Neurospora crassa OR74A: one gene and its partner. The protein of the gene in region 1 interacts with the protein of each later gene in a pairwise test. Links are inferred from orthologs where the notes say so. Each region holds a gene or a part of one and is shown in the gene's direction. Other genes may lie near its edges. The genes, in order: NCU03357 and NCU02358.

What was found.
Region 2: the proteins of NCU03357 (region 1) and NCU02358 interact in a two-hybrid assay, tested with the Schizosaccharomyces pombe proteins (2 studies listed by BioGRID). The link is inferred for Neurospora crassa OR74A from reciprocal best matches to the Schizosaccharomyces pombe genes ufd2 and sds23.

The regions. Positions count from the first base shown.
Region 1 is NC_026502.1:987,489-996,471, reverse strand, and holds the start of NCU03357 (ubiquitin conjugation factor E4), read left to right. Parts: upstream 1-5,707; coding exon 5,708-6,462; intron 6,463-6,524; coding exon 6,525-6,738; intron 6,739-6,797; coding exon 6,798-8,200; intron 8,201-8,256; coding exon 8,257-8,983. Other genes in the region: NCU03355 (calpain-5), read left to right, coding at 1-6, 76-460, 548-895; NCU03356 (hypothetical protein), read left to right, coding at 2,431-4,266. UniProt on the Schizosaccharomyces pombe protein: E4 ubiquitin chain-elongation enzyme specifically involved in polyubiquitin chain assembly.
Region 2 is NC_026507.1:2,753,582-2,762,671, reverse strand, and holds NCU02358 (SDS23), read left to right. Parts: upstream 1-4,357; 5' UTR 4,358-4,957; coding exon 4,958-5,377; intron 5,378-5,448; coding exon 5,449-5,915; intron 5,916-5,984; coding exon 5,985-6,726; 3' UTR 6,727-7,143; downstream 7,144-9,090. Other genes in the region: NCU02357 (importin subunit beta-3), read right to left, coding at 1-1,724, 1,796-2,629, 2,720-2,902; NCU02359 (hypothetical protein), read right to left, coding at 7,543-8,424, 8,584-9,090.

The DNA.
Region 1 (8,983 bases):
CCGATGGTATGCTTAACTCAAAAGCCTAACTTACGCTTTGAAAATTACATGTAGACTAACAACGACTGATACCAGGGCCGAGGAAAACCCTGCCAAACTCCGTCAAATCGGCATGCAGTATGATCTCGCCCACGCCAAGGGCGGCGTCCCCGATGAGGACGAGATCATCACCCAGAGAAAGGAAGAAAAGAAGAAGAAAGAGGAGAAGAAGAAGACCAAGGCCAAGGCTAAGCGTGAAAAGGAGCGCAGAGAAAAGAGGAAGCAGAAGCAGGTGCAGATCACCATCAACATGCCTGAAGGGTCTACTGTGGACACTTCCGGTACCGGTACAGAGTCTGATAAAAAGGAGGAGAAGAAGGAGACGGCCGAGGACAAGAAGGAGGAAGAGGAGAAGTTTGAGGATGCTGTGGAGGAGAAGGCCAAAGATGATGAGAAGAAGAAGGAGGAACAACCCAAGAGGGTAAGTGCTCCTTCATCCTCATCCAAGAGCGCCGGAGACGCTGCGGCTGGTGAAGGAAAGAATACTGAAAAGAAGGACGGTGAACAGAAGGAAGATACTGCTGCTGCAGAAGAGAAGAAGATCGAGGAGAAGGTCACAGGGGAAGAGAAGAAACAGGAGGAAAAAGAAAAGATAGAGGTAGTTGGGGAGTCGAAGCCGACGGCGGCTGCCACTGAAGAGGTTGAGGAAGACCTGTCTGAAGATGAGGAAGAAGAAGAGGAGGAGCCCAAGATCGAATATGAGGAGGGCAAGATTCCCTGGAACGCCGTCTGCGTCGTTGGGCTGAGGGTGTATGCTCAGGATGCCGATGTCACGGTAACGCTGGCGACCCCGAACACTGCGGAGGAGGGCGCTAGTCTTGTTATGGATCAGCACGCTGTTGGGGCTACCATTTGAGGGCGTGGATTGTGAGCCAGGTGAACTTTATGAGAACAGGTTGGAGACTCTGAAGGATACAAAATACCTACCTAGGCTGTAGTCATGATGTAAGGCAGAAAATGATCTCTTCTCCCGGGGTTACTTGGTTCGAATGTGAATGACTGGAAAGCTTTACTGGGCTCCCATAGACGGACTCGGCATGTGATGACAACTGTCATACCTGTGTCCTGCTTTAGGCCCAAAGATTTTCAGTGTTTCGATGCCTCCAGCAGTGCGTTCGAAGCCCTTGGATATGGCGATGGCCTCGGGATAACCCCCAGTCTTCATCATTCTCATATTTCTTCTTCCCTTTTCATGTACCTCCTCAGTTCTTTGTCCTTGTACTAATGAGGTAGCGACAGTGCTGCTAAGGGGTCCAGAGAGCACGAATAGAGAGGGTCAATTCAAGGGGTTGTGCAAGGGAGCCCCAGGCTCTTATTTCCATGATTTGGATGTCAGGAACCTAGGTACGTTTTGTGACCTATCTCACTAACACTCCAACTAGCTAGTGGATAGCTGTCATGTTAGTAACCACATGATTGATCCCCTAGAGTAACCAATTCATGTTGACGTCAAACTAGAGGAGTTACAGTTGAGAAGGGGCTGCGGGGTGGTGTGTTGGCTATCAAGGTTCCCGTTCCCTGAAGAGCACCGCTAGCGCAGGGGCACGATAGTAGCATTATCTCTCCTAGGACCTTCTTAAGATATGGTATACATCACGAAACAAGGATTAAGAGGCTATTCTGAGCAATTTTGTTATGGGAAACAGCCGATCCTTCATCCTCTTTGGTCTCAATGATCTTGAACCCGTGAATAACTGCAAATCAGCCCATCATATCCAAGGTGTTGGCTTCGAACAACAGTCTCTTTGTTGGGCTTCGGGTACCCGGACTAACATGCACTGATAAACGCATCTGACCTCGGCTGACGTCGGGCTGGTCCCAGCATCCAGTCAGTGCCTGGAGGTCCCCTAAAATAGCGCCTTATCGGTTATCGCCTGGGGCTTGTTCCTTCCCGTCGGTTGCGTCGCTCGCCCCCTCCGCCGTCTTCGGCTTTCGACTTCATCTTCTTCTCGCCATCGTCAACCACCAGCGCATCTCCGAGACTACTCTGTGCCGCCGTGCAAGACAATTCGGCGGTCACCTGCAGCGGCTGACCTGAACCATGGATAGGCACCGAGACTAGTCACAATCAAGCCTGTGTCTGTTCCTTTTCTCCAGATCCGCTGAGCCCCTCTCTCCATCACCGCATCAATATGATTCTTGGAAAGTGGTGACCGCCTCGAACGAAGACACCTGCCCACTACACCACACCAACAGCAGTTAAATACAGTCTCTATATATCTTCAATTTCCAATTGCTTCCAACTCCCTCGAACAATCCGCGCCGTGATACCCATCTCTTGTCCGATCTTCAACAATCAACAAACCATCAAGTGGAACAGCAGGCCTCGGGCGAATGGAAGACAACAATATCAACCCCTCTACACCATAATCAAGAAACCCCAATCTGCCAATGTCATTCGAAATGCCGCCACCGAATACACCCGAAGAAGGAGTAGCAGCCCCTACGCTCTCCTCGCGAGCTGACGCACGCCGGATTTTCGGCTCCGGGGTCCCCTCTACTATCTACGGTTCTCCTGCCTCGTCCCCGGGCGGCTCCAGACGCAGCTCAGTTGCCGATTACGGCCCGTATCAAGTCCCTTCACGGGGTCATACGCACCATCAGTCTCAATCTGGAATCGACTACCAGGCGCTCGACTATGCCCAACAGATCGACGAGGCTTTGTTATGTCCCATCTGCCACACGCCCTTCTTCATGCCCATGACGACCAAGACGTGTGGTCACACCTTTTGCGCCTCGTGCCTCGACCGCGCTCTCGAGACCCAGCACGTATGCCCTATTGACCGCCGACCCCTCGACATCAGCCGAGACATTAGCCAGACCCGAACCCGCGTAATACTCGACCAGCTCGACCGTCTCAAAGTCAAGTGTCCAAATAGCGGCTGCGATCATGTTTGCTCGCGGGAGCTTCTATACGCACACGTCGAACGTTATTGCGGACAAACCCTTGTTCGCTGCCCCGACCATCATTGCGACGAGATGATCTGCCGGAAAGACGCGCGCCCCGAGAACGGGTGTCTCCATTACGTTACGCCCTGTCCCTACTGCGAGATGGCCATTACTTTCAACGACCTCGAGAGGCACTACGACCAAGAGTGTACGGGACAAGAAGCCGAGTGCCCGCACTGCGACGCTGTCCTCGTCCGCCACCGTCTGGCCAAGCACATTGCGACTGACTGCCGCGAGGTCGAAACACACTGCCAGTTCCGGAGCGCTGGGTGCAAACAGGTTGCGCGGAGGAAAGATATCGAGGAGCATCTCAAGAACGGGTGCATCTATGAGGCGATTGCGAATCTCATGCAGGCGCGGGAGGAAGACCACAAGATTATCAATGAGTTGAAGGGACGACTAGACGCTCTAGACGGACGAACACGACATCTGGAAAGATATGGTGGTGGTAGTGGTGGTGGTGGTGGTGCTGGCAGCAGTGGGGTACGGGAGTCATCTGCATTCACCAGAGCAGCGCCGCCATCGTCAGGCCTAACCGCTGATGCCCTCAACAACTTGAACCGTATGCAGTCGGCCACGTCAGGCTACGCAGACATCGACGAGGCCAATCACAACATCACGCTGGATGACCTCTTTGAAACTTTCGACCAAGAAAACAACCACCACAATGACAGCAACTACAGTAGCCCACAAGCGGCGGCGGCAGCGATGGCGGCGGATGCACCCCCGGCCCCGTGGGCACACAACAGTGGCGACGGGCCGTGGGAGTCACCAGAGGATTACATGCTTTCCCAGTTTGAGGCCATGGAGGCCAAGATTGAAGACTTGCGCAAGATGATGGTGGAGCTTGACGGGAGACACACAATGAGGCTGGTCAATGATACGATGAGGATGAATGAACAAATCGCCGAGCTTGGGAGTAAAGTGGGAGTATTAGGAATGCATACTACGTGGTTGATGAGCATGCAAAGGCAAAGTCGCGGACAGCAAAATGGCTCTGGGTCAACGCCCGGGACTACGAGATCAAATATTTCTGCTAGTGGTGGTGGCAGTGGTGGCGGCAGTGGCGGTACTGGTGGTAATAACGAGGAGGGGAGAGGCAGGACGAATGCGGCGGCGGCTGGTGCTTCCAACTCGTCAAGGACGGCTACACAGACACAGCAGAGTAGCAGAAATGGTGATGGAGAGAGTGCGAGAGGGAGGTATCTCAATACCAGTGATATCCCGCCGTTGAGGAGGAGTAGCGTGGGGAGGGGTGAGAATCCACCTCGACTTTGATGGATGTTTGGGTTCGCCTTCCTGGGGCAGACACTGGGGTCATATATTTCTGCTGCTGTGCCTCAGTGTCTGAGCCGTCCCGAACGGAAGTAACAGTGTCTGTTGGTTTTGGAAACATACCATAATGGTCTGAAGGAGAAGAACGGGTATGCATAGGTTTTGTATGTTGGCGTTTGGGATGGATCGGGAAAGCACTTGGAGGTTGTCTTATTGCAACGTCGGGCCTTGGTCTAAAGCTTAGATAGCCTATAGACCAAAGAATATAGGAGACGAATCAAACCTCTGTGTTGGAATTTGGCACGCTTGAAAGAGCTAATAGCAACTGAAAGAACGGCTACATGGTCTAGGTCTGTTTCCCATGGTGTTTTGGACAAGACGGCTTTCAAAGTATCTAGAATGCTTTGACTTTGTTGGCTCCCCGTAATCTTCTTACCTATTCATGTAGATGAGTTGAACAATGACAGCTGCATTCCGCATTTACGGCGAAGGAAAGTCACTGTCACATCCAGCGTTATACTAGTGATTCTAGGGTCCTTCCATGAAAAACGCCAACGAAGAATTAGTTATCATCTTCTTGTCATTCAGCCCGTTTCTGCTTCATTAGGTTGCGAGGTTACCTCTACATAGAAGTACCCCTTATGGTAGACTACATATGTAGTACAATGGTGCTGGTTTGTTTGTTAGCTTGGTACCTAGAGGTACTCCTGGTACACTGGACGAGATCTCCCGTCTTCCGAATTGTCCCAAACCGTACAAGGACTGAATGAAAGGCATGAACAAGATCCAATTCGTTCTCTTTCATTTTGGAGAAATGGAAGCATATTCCCAGTCTGAAAACGCATAGTCTAAGAGGTAGCTATAGGGACGGGAAGTTGATCCAAAGACCCGCGGGAGCTAACAATCGAACCAGTATTGCCTACAGTGCAGTAAATCATGTCCCGCCAAAAGCACTAAATGTAAGTAACGTCCCGAAATACCCCGCCAACCTGTGAACTCCAGGAGCTCCATGCAGTAGGCTTGTTCGGGGCAGGCAGGCTCCACGTCACATTCACAGATGTCAACGTAATCTTGTCAGCGCAAAAGGTGCATGGGAATTGCTACTTCCTCCTGATCACTATCCGAGGGCTTTCCGCTAGAGTATGCTAGAGTCATTCCTTATTACTACCTAACTTTGGCACCCGCACTATCACATACTACTGTGGTTAGCTCAAGAGCGAAGTACCAACCTTGAGCACCCGCAGCCGAAGACAACCTCCAGCTTCGGACAGTCACCTCCATCCTCCTTCTCCTCATCCTTCGCCTCAACCTCCCAACGCACATCCAGCTTTACGTCGTCACCGCCAGCTTGAGCCCTTCTTCTCCTTAGGCTCTCTCCGTCACGATAATCACAATATCCGTACATCCTTAATCCCTTTCCTCTTCGCCCAACGACGACGACAAGATGGATCCGAATCAGCAACAGCCGGCGGCCACGCCGGATGCGCCTGATAAAGAGACGATGGAGCAGATCCGTGCCCGACGACTGGCTAAGCTCGGTGGCCCCAATGTCGCTTCTACTACATCGCCAGCTGCGTCCTCTTCCACGCCTCAGCCTGGCACCGAAACCCCTCCCGCTGCTGCTGCTGTGGCGGCGGCGGCGGCGGCGGCGAGTTCGTCAAAGATCGAAGACAAGGCACCGCGAGTTCAGCCAAGGTCGATAATCAAGCCGGCGTCACGAGATGTGCCAGAGCCACCACCAGGTAGTTCCGCTTCCCGAAAGAGAGAAAGATCCCTTTCAAATATTGATGATATTCCATGCCCACCAGCACCGCGAAAGCAATACAGGGAACAGACGCTCGAGGAATGGACCGACAAGCTACTCACCAGCATCCTTCGCGTGTCTCTCGATCCGAACCAGACCTTCGATAGCAGTGGCCATAACTTGACCTTTCTGCCAGAACTCAGCCAGGAAATTCGGGGCGAGTATCAGGAGCCCTTGCTGTCGATCGACCGATTTCAAGAGGCCGTTATGGAGGCCGGAAGGATCTATCCGCCGCACAAGCCCCTATTCGAATACTTCCTGGCATGCTGGAAGCGGGTCACCAGATATAGGATATTGAGGGCGTCGACTCCTGAGAAGGAAGAAGCCCTCAAGGAGGCCAAGCGCTTGTGCTTCTCGAACTGCATCTTCGCCGTTACTATGCCCGAGATGTTTGGGTATTTATCCCCCGTGTCCTCTTTACAGTTTGCTCTAGCTGACATGATCCAAATTTGAAAAGTCGAGAACCAAACCCAAAGCACGATACCATAGTCCCCTACATTTTGGAAGGTGTTGCGAAGGAAGAAGGCCTCGACATCGAGTTTTACAACGAGGCCATGACACGGATCGAGGACGACGATAGCATTGTACCTCTCTTCACCAAGGCCATGGTGGAAATCAGCACAGCGCTGTCTACCAAAAACATGAACGGCGATTATCAGCCGCACGTCCAGGTGAGTTTGACAAGCGACTTGAACGAATTGTGCTGAGCGTTGACGTTGGAACCTCACAGGCCCTCTTCACATACTCGAGATATCCGGCTCTCGTGAACGCTTTGGCGGAACACCCTACTTTCCTTATGGCGCAATCAGCCCCCAACATTGAACGGTTCACGCTGCTCGGGCCATTCTTCCGCCTGTCGCCCTTACACCCAGAGGCGGCCAGTTACGACTTTGCCGCACCAAGGACTCTTGACAAGGGCCGAATTGGCACAACCCAACAATCGTTACAAATGACGTTGGCTGCCCATCAGGAACACTTGACGACGATAGCTAATGCCTTCATACGAGCAAGCACTAGCTCGAGAAACAAGCTCCTGGACTGGTTCGCCTACATCATGAATGTCAACCATAAGCGCACAGCCACTTATGTCGACCCCAAGACCGTTTCGTCGGACGGCTTCATGGTCAATGTCACTGTCGTCCTCGACAATCTATGCAAGCCTTTCATGGATAACTCCTTTACCAAGATTGACCGTATTCAGGTCGACTACTTCAGGCGGAAGCCCAGATTGGACATCAAGGAAGAGACCAAGCTCAACGCTGACCAAGAGCACTCGGACGCGTTTTACTCTACAAAACTCGAAGGGGAGAACAACTTTATAACAGAGGTCTTCTTCCTCGCTTTGGCGGCACATCAGTATGGCACCGAAGCCACCCAAAACAAGCTAAAGGAACTTGACAAGCAAATTAAGCATTTCCAAAAGAACTTGACCCTTATGGAGGCTGACCGTCCCAACATTGTCGCCAATCATCCGGAACGAGTACCTATGCTAGAGGCGGCGCAGAGGAGACTGATCAAGATGCTGGAGAGCGCCATGTCGGCCAAATTTGCCATCGAAGGCATTATGACCGACAAGACGCTGCAAACGCGGTCACTACAGTTCATGAAGTACACGATTGTGTGGCTACTGCGAGTAGCCAGTCAGTCCGACTACGTCCCATGGAAGAAAATCAGCCTTCCGCTGCCTGAAACTCAGCCAGAAGCTTTCAGGTGTCTTCCCGAGTATGTTCTGCAGGTAATTGTTGATAACTTGAAGTTCACCTTCCGCCATAGGCCAGAGGTCATGGTCTCGGCCATTGGTGACGAGGTCGTTGCTCTATGCATAACGTTTCTGGAATCCTCCGAGTACATCAAGAACCCGTACTTGAAATCGTCGCTGGTTACCCTCCTTTATCAGGGCACCTGGCCGGCATACCATCTTAAAAAGGGCATTCTTGGCGACATCCTTACCGGCACCAAGTTCGCGAATGACTACCTGCTACATGCTGTGATGAAGTACTATATTGAGTGCGAGTCGAATGGTACCAGTTCCGCGTTCTACGAAAAGTTCAACATACGTTTTGAGATCTTCCAGGTTATCAAGTGCGTCTGGACCAATGACCATTACAAGAAGCAGTTGACAGAGTCCAGCAGGTCAGTATATGTTTTGTCCTACGATCTCTTTGCTGAATCCGACTAACTCGACCTAGGGTGGACCGCGACTTCTTCGTTCGTTTTGTCAATCTTCTCATGAACGATGCAACATACGTTCTGGATGAAGCATTGAGCAACTTCCCCAAGATCCATGACTTCCAGCAAAAGCTAAAGGACCCCAGTCTTTCGCAAGAGGATCGCGAAAAGATGGAGAGCGATTTACACGACGCGGAAAACAAGGCCAGTTCCTATATGCAGCTTGCGAACGAGACAGTCGGCATGATGAAGCTCTTCACCCAAACCCTGGCTGAGTCCTTCACCATGCCAGAAATCGTTCACCGCCTGGCCGGTATGCTCGATTTCAACCTTGACCTCCTCACCGGTCCTAAGAGCCGGACGTTGAAGGTTGAGAACCCCGACAAGTATGGCTTCAACCCCAAGATTCTGCTACCGCAGCTCGTGGACATCTACCTGAACTTGGGTTCCTCGCCTGCCTTTGTCGAGGCCGTTGCTGCAGACGGCAGATCCTACAAGCCTGAGACCATGGCGTCTGCCACCAACATTCTTCGCTCAAAGGCACTCAAGAATCCTACCGAGATGCACGCGTGGGAGGTGTTGTGCAAATGCTTCGAAGAGGCCAAGGCCATCGTCGACCAGGCTGATCTCGACTTTGGCGACGCACCGCCCGAGTTCGAAGACCCCATCATGGGCGACTTGATGAAGGACCCGGTGATTCTACCCAGCAAGCACGTTGTCGATCGGTCGACTATCGTGCAGCACTTG
Region 2 (9,090 bases), on another chromosome or scaffold:
AGAGGCTCCGAGATATACTGGGCGTAGTGAATGCTCTCAGCACCACAGTATTCTAGAACATCATCCATAATGCACAGTCCCCACTGTCGCTGGGTGGTATCATTCGAGCTCAAGAAGCTGCTGTAGGTGGGAAGCAGGCGGCTCCAAGCGCTCAAGAAGCTTGCGCCGTGGTACTTGAAAACAGCATGGAACGCCTTGTTCATGTCCGAAAGGAGAGTCTGGTCATCCTCAATGGCCATCTGCATCTCTTCCGACTCGTCCTCGCCATCTTCACCTCCTTGCTCCTCCTCACGAGCGGCTGCCCGATCCTTGTAATCCTCAAGAGTGGAGTGGACACCGTCGATGAAGCGGCCCATGTGCGTCTCATCGAGGCAGGCAGTGCCGATGACCTCGATGGACTCATAGAAGCATTGATACATCTCCGCGAGCGTATCAATGGCAGGCTCGGCGCTAAGAACGTCGAGGAGCTGAACGACGGTGCTGGTCCACAAGCCCTTGAGCTCGTTGGAGCCGGGACCGTACTGCTTCTTGTATGAAATGAGCAATTGCGGAACTAGCTTCGCAGACATGTACCTGACAGGATCGTGGAAGAAGAAGGCCAGACCAGGAAGAGCAATCTTCTCCATGATGTCTGCGACATAAGGCGCAAAGTCACCCTCAAGGACCTGAGCGTACACCACGAGCAGCTCGATGGCCATGTTCTTATCGTCCATGGTGCTGGTACGGATACCAATAGTCTTGCCACGGAGCGGGACAAGCTCCCACCCTTCCTCGGTCTGTAGCTGCTCAATCTGCTCGTCGTCTTCCAGAAGCTGGATATCGGCCTTGGCGCTAGCAAGCTCGAGGAGTGGCGGCATAACCTCGGGCAAGTAGGGAAGGAAATCCCTACCCAACACACGGCACATTCTTCCCCAGCAGTGCATGAGGTACTGGGCCTGAGGATCGTCGGGATCAGTGATGTTTTGCTGGATGCTGGCCAAAAGTTGCACTAGCGCCATGGCATCCGCACCGAGACGCTCCTTTCCAACCGCAAGGGCGATCAGGGTGGCGCACTCCATCGCCTTTGCACGGAGGAGGCGGACCTCCTTCTCATTCTCGCGCTGCAACACTCCCATCAACAGGGGCATGAGAGTATCATAGTACTTGGCAAATGCCTGCTCTGCGGCGTCAGCGATGGTGGCGATGGTAGACAAAGCCTGCTCTTGGACGTAACGCTTTTCATTCTGAAGAAGCTGGAACAAGTGCGACAAAAGGTTGTCGAGATAAGGCTCAAGGACACTCTTGTCAGCCTCCTCACAAAAGTTCACAAGCGCCGCAGCAGCATGTGACTTGACCCGTGCCTCGGGTGCGTTAAGGACGGGCACAATGGCCGACAGCACAATATCGTAGTACTGCTTCTGCATAGTAGGAGCAAAGTCGGTGCTCATCTGGCCGAGGGCATTGCAGCCAGCCCAACGGACACGAGGATGGGGGTCCTTTAACGCCGGGACAACCAAGTCAAGGACCTGCCTCAGTTCACCAATCATCTCCTCGCGGCAGCCTTCTGAAATGGCGGACAGAGCCATCAAAGCAGCGTGACGGTCTCTCCAAGCCGGGGAGTTCATCATGCTAGGCAACCAGCCGAAGATGGGACTGAGAATAGCGGCACCTCCGAGCTTATTAGCCAGACGATCGAGACACTGCTCACCTGCGACATGGTTGGAGTCACTCTCGTCGGTGTCGAGCTGCATAAACGCCATTAGCACAGAGCCAATGTATGGGCCCCACAGAAGTTACAAGTGACCCAACAACTTACATCGTCGCAGCTAAGCCATTCGGCCGCATCATCGTCATCCTCACCAAGATCCGTCATCAAGCTAAGGCACTGTGTGATCATATCCTTGGTATAAGAAGCATCCTTCTTGCACATGGACGGAGCGTAATCGGCAAAGGTGGCCATAAGTTCCAGCGCATTTTGTCGGCAGAGGTCTGTGAGCTCCTTGTCTTGAATGACCGAAATGCTGAATCCAACAAGAGTCGAGAAGACGGTCTTGAACATCTTGGGGGAACTTTCGGCCAAGTCGATGAGAGCGATGAGGGCCTGGCTAAGGTCGTCCGAATCTTGCGAGTCCTTGATAGGAGGAAGGATGTTGAGGAGCTGAGGAAGGAGCTCGAAGTACTTGGCCTGGTTCTTCTTTCCCAGGCTGCGGAAAAAGGCCGCAAAAGCCTCCATAGCAGCAAGCCTGACGGCAACCGACTCGTCCGTGAATGCTTTGGCAAATGCCATGGCTACGGCATCCTGATGTTGTTTCTCAATGATGCTAGGGGTAGCGTGGAAAATGCGGAAGGCCGTCTCGCGCTTGCCAGCATCGGGTGCTTGGCTGAGGTTGAAGAGAGTCTGAAGTAGTTCTGGCCAATTTTGGTCATTGTCATAATATTGCCTAGCAACCTCGGCAACCGCATCACCAATCTTGTTGCGAACGTTTCTGTCTGTCTCGGCAAGGATGGCCTCGAGAATCTTGTTGCGGACAGCGACGGCCTCGTGGTTGTCAAGGGAAAGAAACATATCGGTAGCAGCCTCGGAGGTCGGCGTGGCTTTGCGAGTTTTGAGTGTTATCCGGCGGAAAATGACGGCGGCGAAAGAACGGACCTGCAAGGTTCAAAAACGAGTGAGTTATATGTGAGCAGTGACACGCTGAGGCGACCGGCCCAGCAAAAGAGGGTTGCGAAGAAGCCATACCGAAGCGTCGCTTGATCCAGCAATCTGCTCAGCCAAGCCCATCAAGAGGAGGCCAGGCCGGGAGCTGGTCCAGTTGTTTTGCAAGTGCTCCTCAGCCTGAGAGCGAATGTTGTTGTCGGCCGACTGAAGAGCCTGGAGCAGCTGGCTCAGCTCGGCCGTAACATCGGCGGGAAGGACCGACATGATGAATGATGTATGTTGCGAAGTAGAGTGCTAGTTGTGTCTAGTTGGTGCCGTGGGGTCGGGGAGCAGAAGAGTGAATCGCAAAGCACACTGCACTCCTTACACACAATGTGTGACCCTGGGTTATCGTCGGTTGGTGGGCTCTGGAAGAGGCGGAACGTGGTTAACGATGTTGGCCCAACAACAACATCAGAACTCTCGCTAAAGTCTGATACGGATGAGGACTGGGAAAAAGGCGGGCCAGGGAGGACGGACTTGAGGTGGACACGGCAACGGTGCGGATGGAGAAGCAACTCGAGTGCCAAGTTGATGATGGATTGACGACAGGCGTCGACGGTGACCGTTAGTGATACCGAGACTTGAATGAATTCAAGTCGCGATAAAGGACGCGTCCGAAACTCGACTTTGCTCCAGTCAAAGGTGGATTTGGATTGTCGAGAATTGGTGATTTGATGGCTCTAGACTGGCTCGAAAGGGTCGAGGGGAGTGGGAGGGGGGGGGGCATGGACCGTATGAAAACCGAATGGACAATATTTTTTTTTGATTGGGTCTGGGTCAACCCGAGCTCATGAATGGAGGGGGCCGAGGGGCACACGGCACTGTAGCGTACAAAAGTAGGTGCCTCTCGGCATACCTAAAGGTAGCATAGGGCAGGCAGACATTCTACCTCTACCTCCCGTTACCTAGGTAGGTAGAGGTAGGTACCTACCCCATAAGCGCCCAGGTTCCCCCCGCCGCGTCGCTAACATCCCGTTAGAGCACAGCACCGTTTGCTATGTGATCACCTAGTAAATAACTATCAAGCGGCAGAGGTCCGCTAAAACTACGGAGTGGGGCAGTGGCATCTTGAGATGGCCACCGGTTCTGGCCGTTCCTTCCTCCAACCTATGGAAAGCTCCAGGGCGGCCCCAGCTTCCACAACTTGTGTGCCCAGGCTTCCACTGCCGGGTGGGTAGGGCGTCTGTGATGATCATGATCAACAACATGGAAGGGAAGCAGGACTCGGAGGTGAAGGCCCAGATGAAATGTAGGTGACAGAAAATGGTGGATAGGCCTGATCTAGGTCTAACCCCATGGAGTTCCCTCCCCCACTGGATATGGATGGACTTTCATCGACAAAAACCTAATTGCGCCAGGCTGCCTTCAGTTCGCACCTCAGCCTACCTCTACTTGCCTACCTGATCGCCTCTGGGTGCAGCGCAGCAACGGTCAACAGGTGACAGCCTCAGCCCTGTCCTGCCCTGCAGGTGACCTTATCGCCGGACACTACCTGTGTACAGACTATCCGCACGCCTTAGTGTGAGAGTAGCCTGACAGTCAGTGACGAGAGGGAGGCTAGTGCTTCCCGCGCATAGGCTAGACAGGGGCAACCCCGCACCATCACGTTAAGGTAGGTATGCTCAGGATAGGTACGTGCCGCGGCTGGACCATCGTCATTGCTCTCCCGTTTCTGGACTTGAGAATCAGGCGGACGTTTCCATAGGTTCCTGTTGCTCTCGACTGGTCAATGCTTTTCTTGCTTCGTCAGTTTCGTTGGCAGTCGCAACAAGCCGATCTGAATCTTTCTCGTAGTCTTGATCTCGACTTTACCTATCACTGAGTGTTTGATTCCCGCCATACTACCTCTACTACACTCTCCTGCCAGATACTTCAGAATTTCAGATACACTTCCACCATTACCTACCACATACTCGGTTGCGCAAAGACGGCGGCGGCAACGACCCCGAGATTGCAGACAAGCTCAAGTGAAACGCTATCTACATCTACATACATACGAAGCATACCTGTACCTTCCGAACAGCGGAACCGACTACGACGGCAGCGGTCACCTTGAACTTTCGGCAAAGATACAGTACCAGTAGTAGCTTCTCTCCGCGCATCGATCTGTCGTGAACCATCTCCAACTGAACTACCCTAAGCTCTCTTCTTTCTTCGGTCTTATCCGCATCATCGCCGTGTCCGCCGCGGGTGCTTCAAGTTGCGTGCATTATTACCCGAGAAATCCAGCAACAACAACATCAACAATAACACCATCACCACATCTCGGAAGCTTCGATGGAGTCCTCATCAGAAATCACAAAATCGCCCTCTCCTGGCACATTGGCCAACGCCAACCCGGGCTTACCGGTCTCTGACACTGCGCTGTCCGGCGCCTCGCTCCCGTCTCCTCCAGAACGCTCCAGCTCTCAAGGCGGCAACCCCTTGTCCAAAACAACGAGCAATGTTTCGTCACATTCGCATCGCCAGAGCTTCGCTGAGAACCAACGTCATCCGCCCCCCTCGCCACGTACTCAGAGACACCCCTCCTTCACACAGCAAGCAATTCAAGACCTGATGAGCCACCCACCGCCAAACCGCCATCAAAACCCTCGCTATGTCGGCCGTGACTGGCGGGACATTGCCATTGGCGAGTTATTGCAGCCGGATGAAGTCAAATGGGCGGAACTGGACACTAGTATCCAAGAGGCCACCAAGGTGCGACAGTGCCTCTGTGCCAATCTTCGTCGTTGGTTTGGACCTTGCTGATATCGTTACTTACTGTCCAGACCCTGTTTCAAAGTAGTCCGAACAATGTGGTCCTTGTCCGCCAGAACTCGTCTTCGAAGGAAGCCGTTTCTACCTTTGACCACAGCGATCTCAATGCCTACCTTTTGGCCGTCGTAGGCCTGGCAAAGCCCGAAGAAGAACAGGTCGCTCTATATACAGATATTTCGGTCAAAGCGCAGTCTCAGGAAGAGATCCCGTTACGTACCCTCCAACCCATCTTTCGCCACGAGGAACTGGTGAAGCTCCCAGCCGATTCCACTCTCGATAAAGCCATTGAAGTGTTTGGAGGCGGCATTCACCGCGTTCTGGTCACCAATAAGGACTCAGAAGTGGTGGGTATCTTGAGCCAGTTGCGCCTACTCGAGTTCTTCTGGTACGAGGCCGTCAATTTCCCCTTAATTGATCGTCTTTACACGATCCCGCTGCGTGATCTTCAAATCGGGACGCAGCAAATCATCGCCATCAAGTAAGCCACCTCCGCTTTGTGTACCTAAATCGCCCGGTGCCCTGAAGTCGCTTGGCTAACATCTCCTAGCGCTGACGCTCCTCTTGCCGATGCTCTCTTTCTTATGAGCTCCGAGGGGCTGACATCTGTCGCGGTTGTGGATAACGGCCACAACGTTGTGGGAAATATTTCCACCGTTGACGTGCGCCTCCTAACCAACGCCAACAGTCTGCCCCTGCTCAAGGCTTCATGCATGCACTTCGTCAGCGTCATTCTCTCCGAACGTGGTGTCGAGCATGGCCGTGACTCCTTCCCAGTTTTCTACGTCAATCCGTATTCTACCCTAGCTCACACGGTCGCCAAGCTGGTCGCAACGCAGTCTCATCGTATGTGGGTAGTCGAGTCCGCTTCGCCGTCGCCTAGCGCCCCGGCTACACCTTTACTGCAGGCTTCCAGCTTGCCTCCCCTTTCAACGTTATCACCTCCGGTTGCTTCGCCCGGCAGAGCGGGCAGTCCTGCCCCTGGATCGGCAGCTGTTGTCGTTCCTCCACCAGGTGCCATCACAACGTCGACGCCCCAGTCGCCGCCAGCACAGGGGCCATTCACCTCGGTTCCGGCTTCGGCGCTGCCGGGTGCTGGACTGTCAGGGCGCTTGACAGGCGTGGTGTCGTTGACGGACATCCTAAACTTGTTTGCAAAGACAAGTGGCCTGAGGCCGTTGGATCCTAGTGAGCAAAGGGCTAGGAGAAGACGGAGCTCGAGCTGTTCAGTCCGACCTACGCTGGATACTGGGAGAGATAATGGAAGAGGAAGCATTGATTTTCGAAGGTGATGTCCTGTATAAGCAGAAATCAAAGTTAAACACATGGACAGCTTCAGGTAGATTCGATAATTACTTTTGTAGGTAGCAAGAGGGTGGAGTCCGATCAAGACAGCCCCGATATGCATAAAACGGAACAGCTATGGCTTGAAGCAAAAGGGGATGCATTCTACTGCCTTCCCTATATCTACTTGGTAAGGCATTCGTTGTGGGTGGCTAGCAAGATTGGGATGGTTGCTGTGTTCATTCTCTATACGGGGTTCCATATATGATGCCGGCCTTTCAAAGCTGCAAACTAAACCGAAATACGATACTTTTCGACTATGCAATGGCGCCATTATCGCGCTGATTTCTTTCTAGCTAGTAGTATGGTTTTCCATGACTTACATGTCACAGACTAGCACGCCATTTAACCTGAGCTTATGGCAGGGCTGCTCCCTCTTTGCTCCTAGACGGTGATACCTTTCGCTTCACCTACGTCCGGGTATCCAAACACACTGCTTCTCTACCTCTCCCGTGGTCTTGGCCTCAACCTTTGATCCCCCTCTCCCCACTTTTAAACTGCCTGAGCCTTAATATCCACCACCTATTGAGAGGGACATCGAAACAGGGTATCTATCTATCCCATGCATACCCAGGTTCCCTGAAAACGCCCCCCTCCCTTTCCCTCTCCATTAAAACACCGAATTATAGGAACAAAGCAGTATTGGTACAGGTACAACAACCCTTTCCACAATTGTGTGGGCTGAGGGGGGTTTGGTTGCTAGATATAGCTCCATCTTATTCAAAGCAATCGCAAGATGCCGAACCTCCACGTAAGCACACCATTTAATCCACTCCCATGCTCTGGTTCCAATCGAACTGGGGATCGTCTTCTGGTCCTCCAATCCCGGCACCATCGAGCCTCGACCCATCGTCGGCTTTGAGAGCACCGTTTCGTCGAGCTGTGGGCTCATGAGAACCATGTGAGGAATCCGAAGTGCTGCCGCCATCGCCATCGTCGTGCTCGCCCTCCTCATCCGATTCCGGGAAACTCCCCGCCATCTTCAAGCTCATCCCCCTTTCCCGCCCGCGCATATGCGGGGGCAGGTGGTCGTCATCATTACTCACATGAGAGACACTCCACCTTCTCACTGATGAAAACAGCGTTGTCGCTGCTGACGATTTCCGTTGGGGGAAACTGCTGGTGTCCTCCGTTTCGTCCGAAAGATCCCACTGCACGGGTATCCTCTCGCCTCCCTCGCCGGATCCCAAGACCGCGCCGCTCTTTTGTCCAGCGGTGATGCGCGCCGCAACGGTGAGCATGAGGCTCATCAAGTGAGTGGGAGGCGCCATCAAGATTTCGAAGGATTTATTGATGACCGTCATGGGTAGCTTGCGCACTACTTCGAGCTTGCTGGTAGAGGGCGCCCTTCGACGAGGCGCAAACAAATCCGCAGCACGTGGTAGGGGTGAAAGCGCTCTCCTACTGGGGGATATGCTGCTGCTTGTTGTTGGGCGGCCGCGGATGAGAGAGCGACGACTGCTGACGGAGGGAGATCGGGAACGGGAAGTCGGTGATGCGTTGGGCGACGGAGTAACTAATATTAGTCCTGTTGTTGTTGGGCTACATGGAGAATCGGTGTCATGGGTAGACGAGGGAGCTGTGCCGTGAAATGTCGAGCTGGAGGTGGCGCTTCGATCAATTGCTACCGGGCTGGTATCCGATGTCTGGGAAATGTTAGATCGATTTGCCCTATCTAACGTGAGGGTGGATGAGTCTTCCGCTGGTTTGTTCTTCTTTCCAGGTGGACAGGAAGAGCCTGAAGGAGACGTCGGCTTGGACAAGGGTGGGGAAGGGGGGAAAATATGAGAGTTGCATGATCGTACACTGTAGAAAGAGTCGCGGGAGGTTACCGAAGACAGTGATCCGGGTATTTCTGGCGCATGGCCGTCCAGTTGATATATGGATGGCTCAGTAGAGTGCGATGCAGTGACCAACGTTAGTTGCGGGGGTGCGGCAACAGAATGACTAGTTTGCTGGCCGCTTGGTATGAGAGGGGTCCTTGTGAAATTCCGCGAAGACAACGACTCTGGCTGCTGTGGTTCCTCCTCGGGCTGACTTGAGAGTGTAATGTCGGGTACCGAAACGATGTTATGCTCCTGTATTCTAAACAGATCATCGCTGGTGGGTAAGGTTGACTGGCTTGTGGTACCAGTCGCTCTTCTCTTGCGCACTCTGATGGTGTCATCTTTAGGCGGACCTCGGTGTACACGGGCAATCTGGGCGGGTATCGTGATCGCGCTGACCGGGGTGGGAATGATGGATTCACTAGATCTCCTAGCAGGAGTCCACGGTTTCTTGATAACCGGCGTCTGCGGACGTTCGGGTAGCTC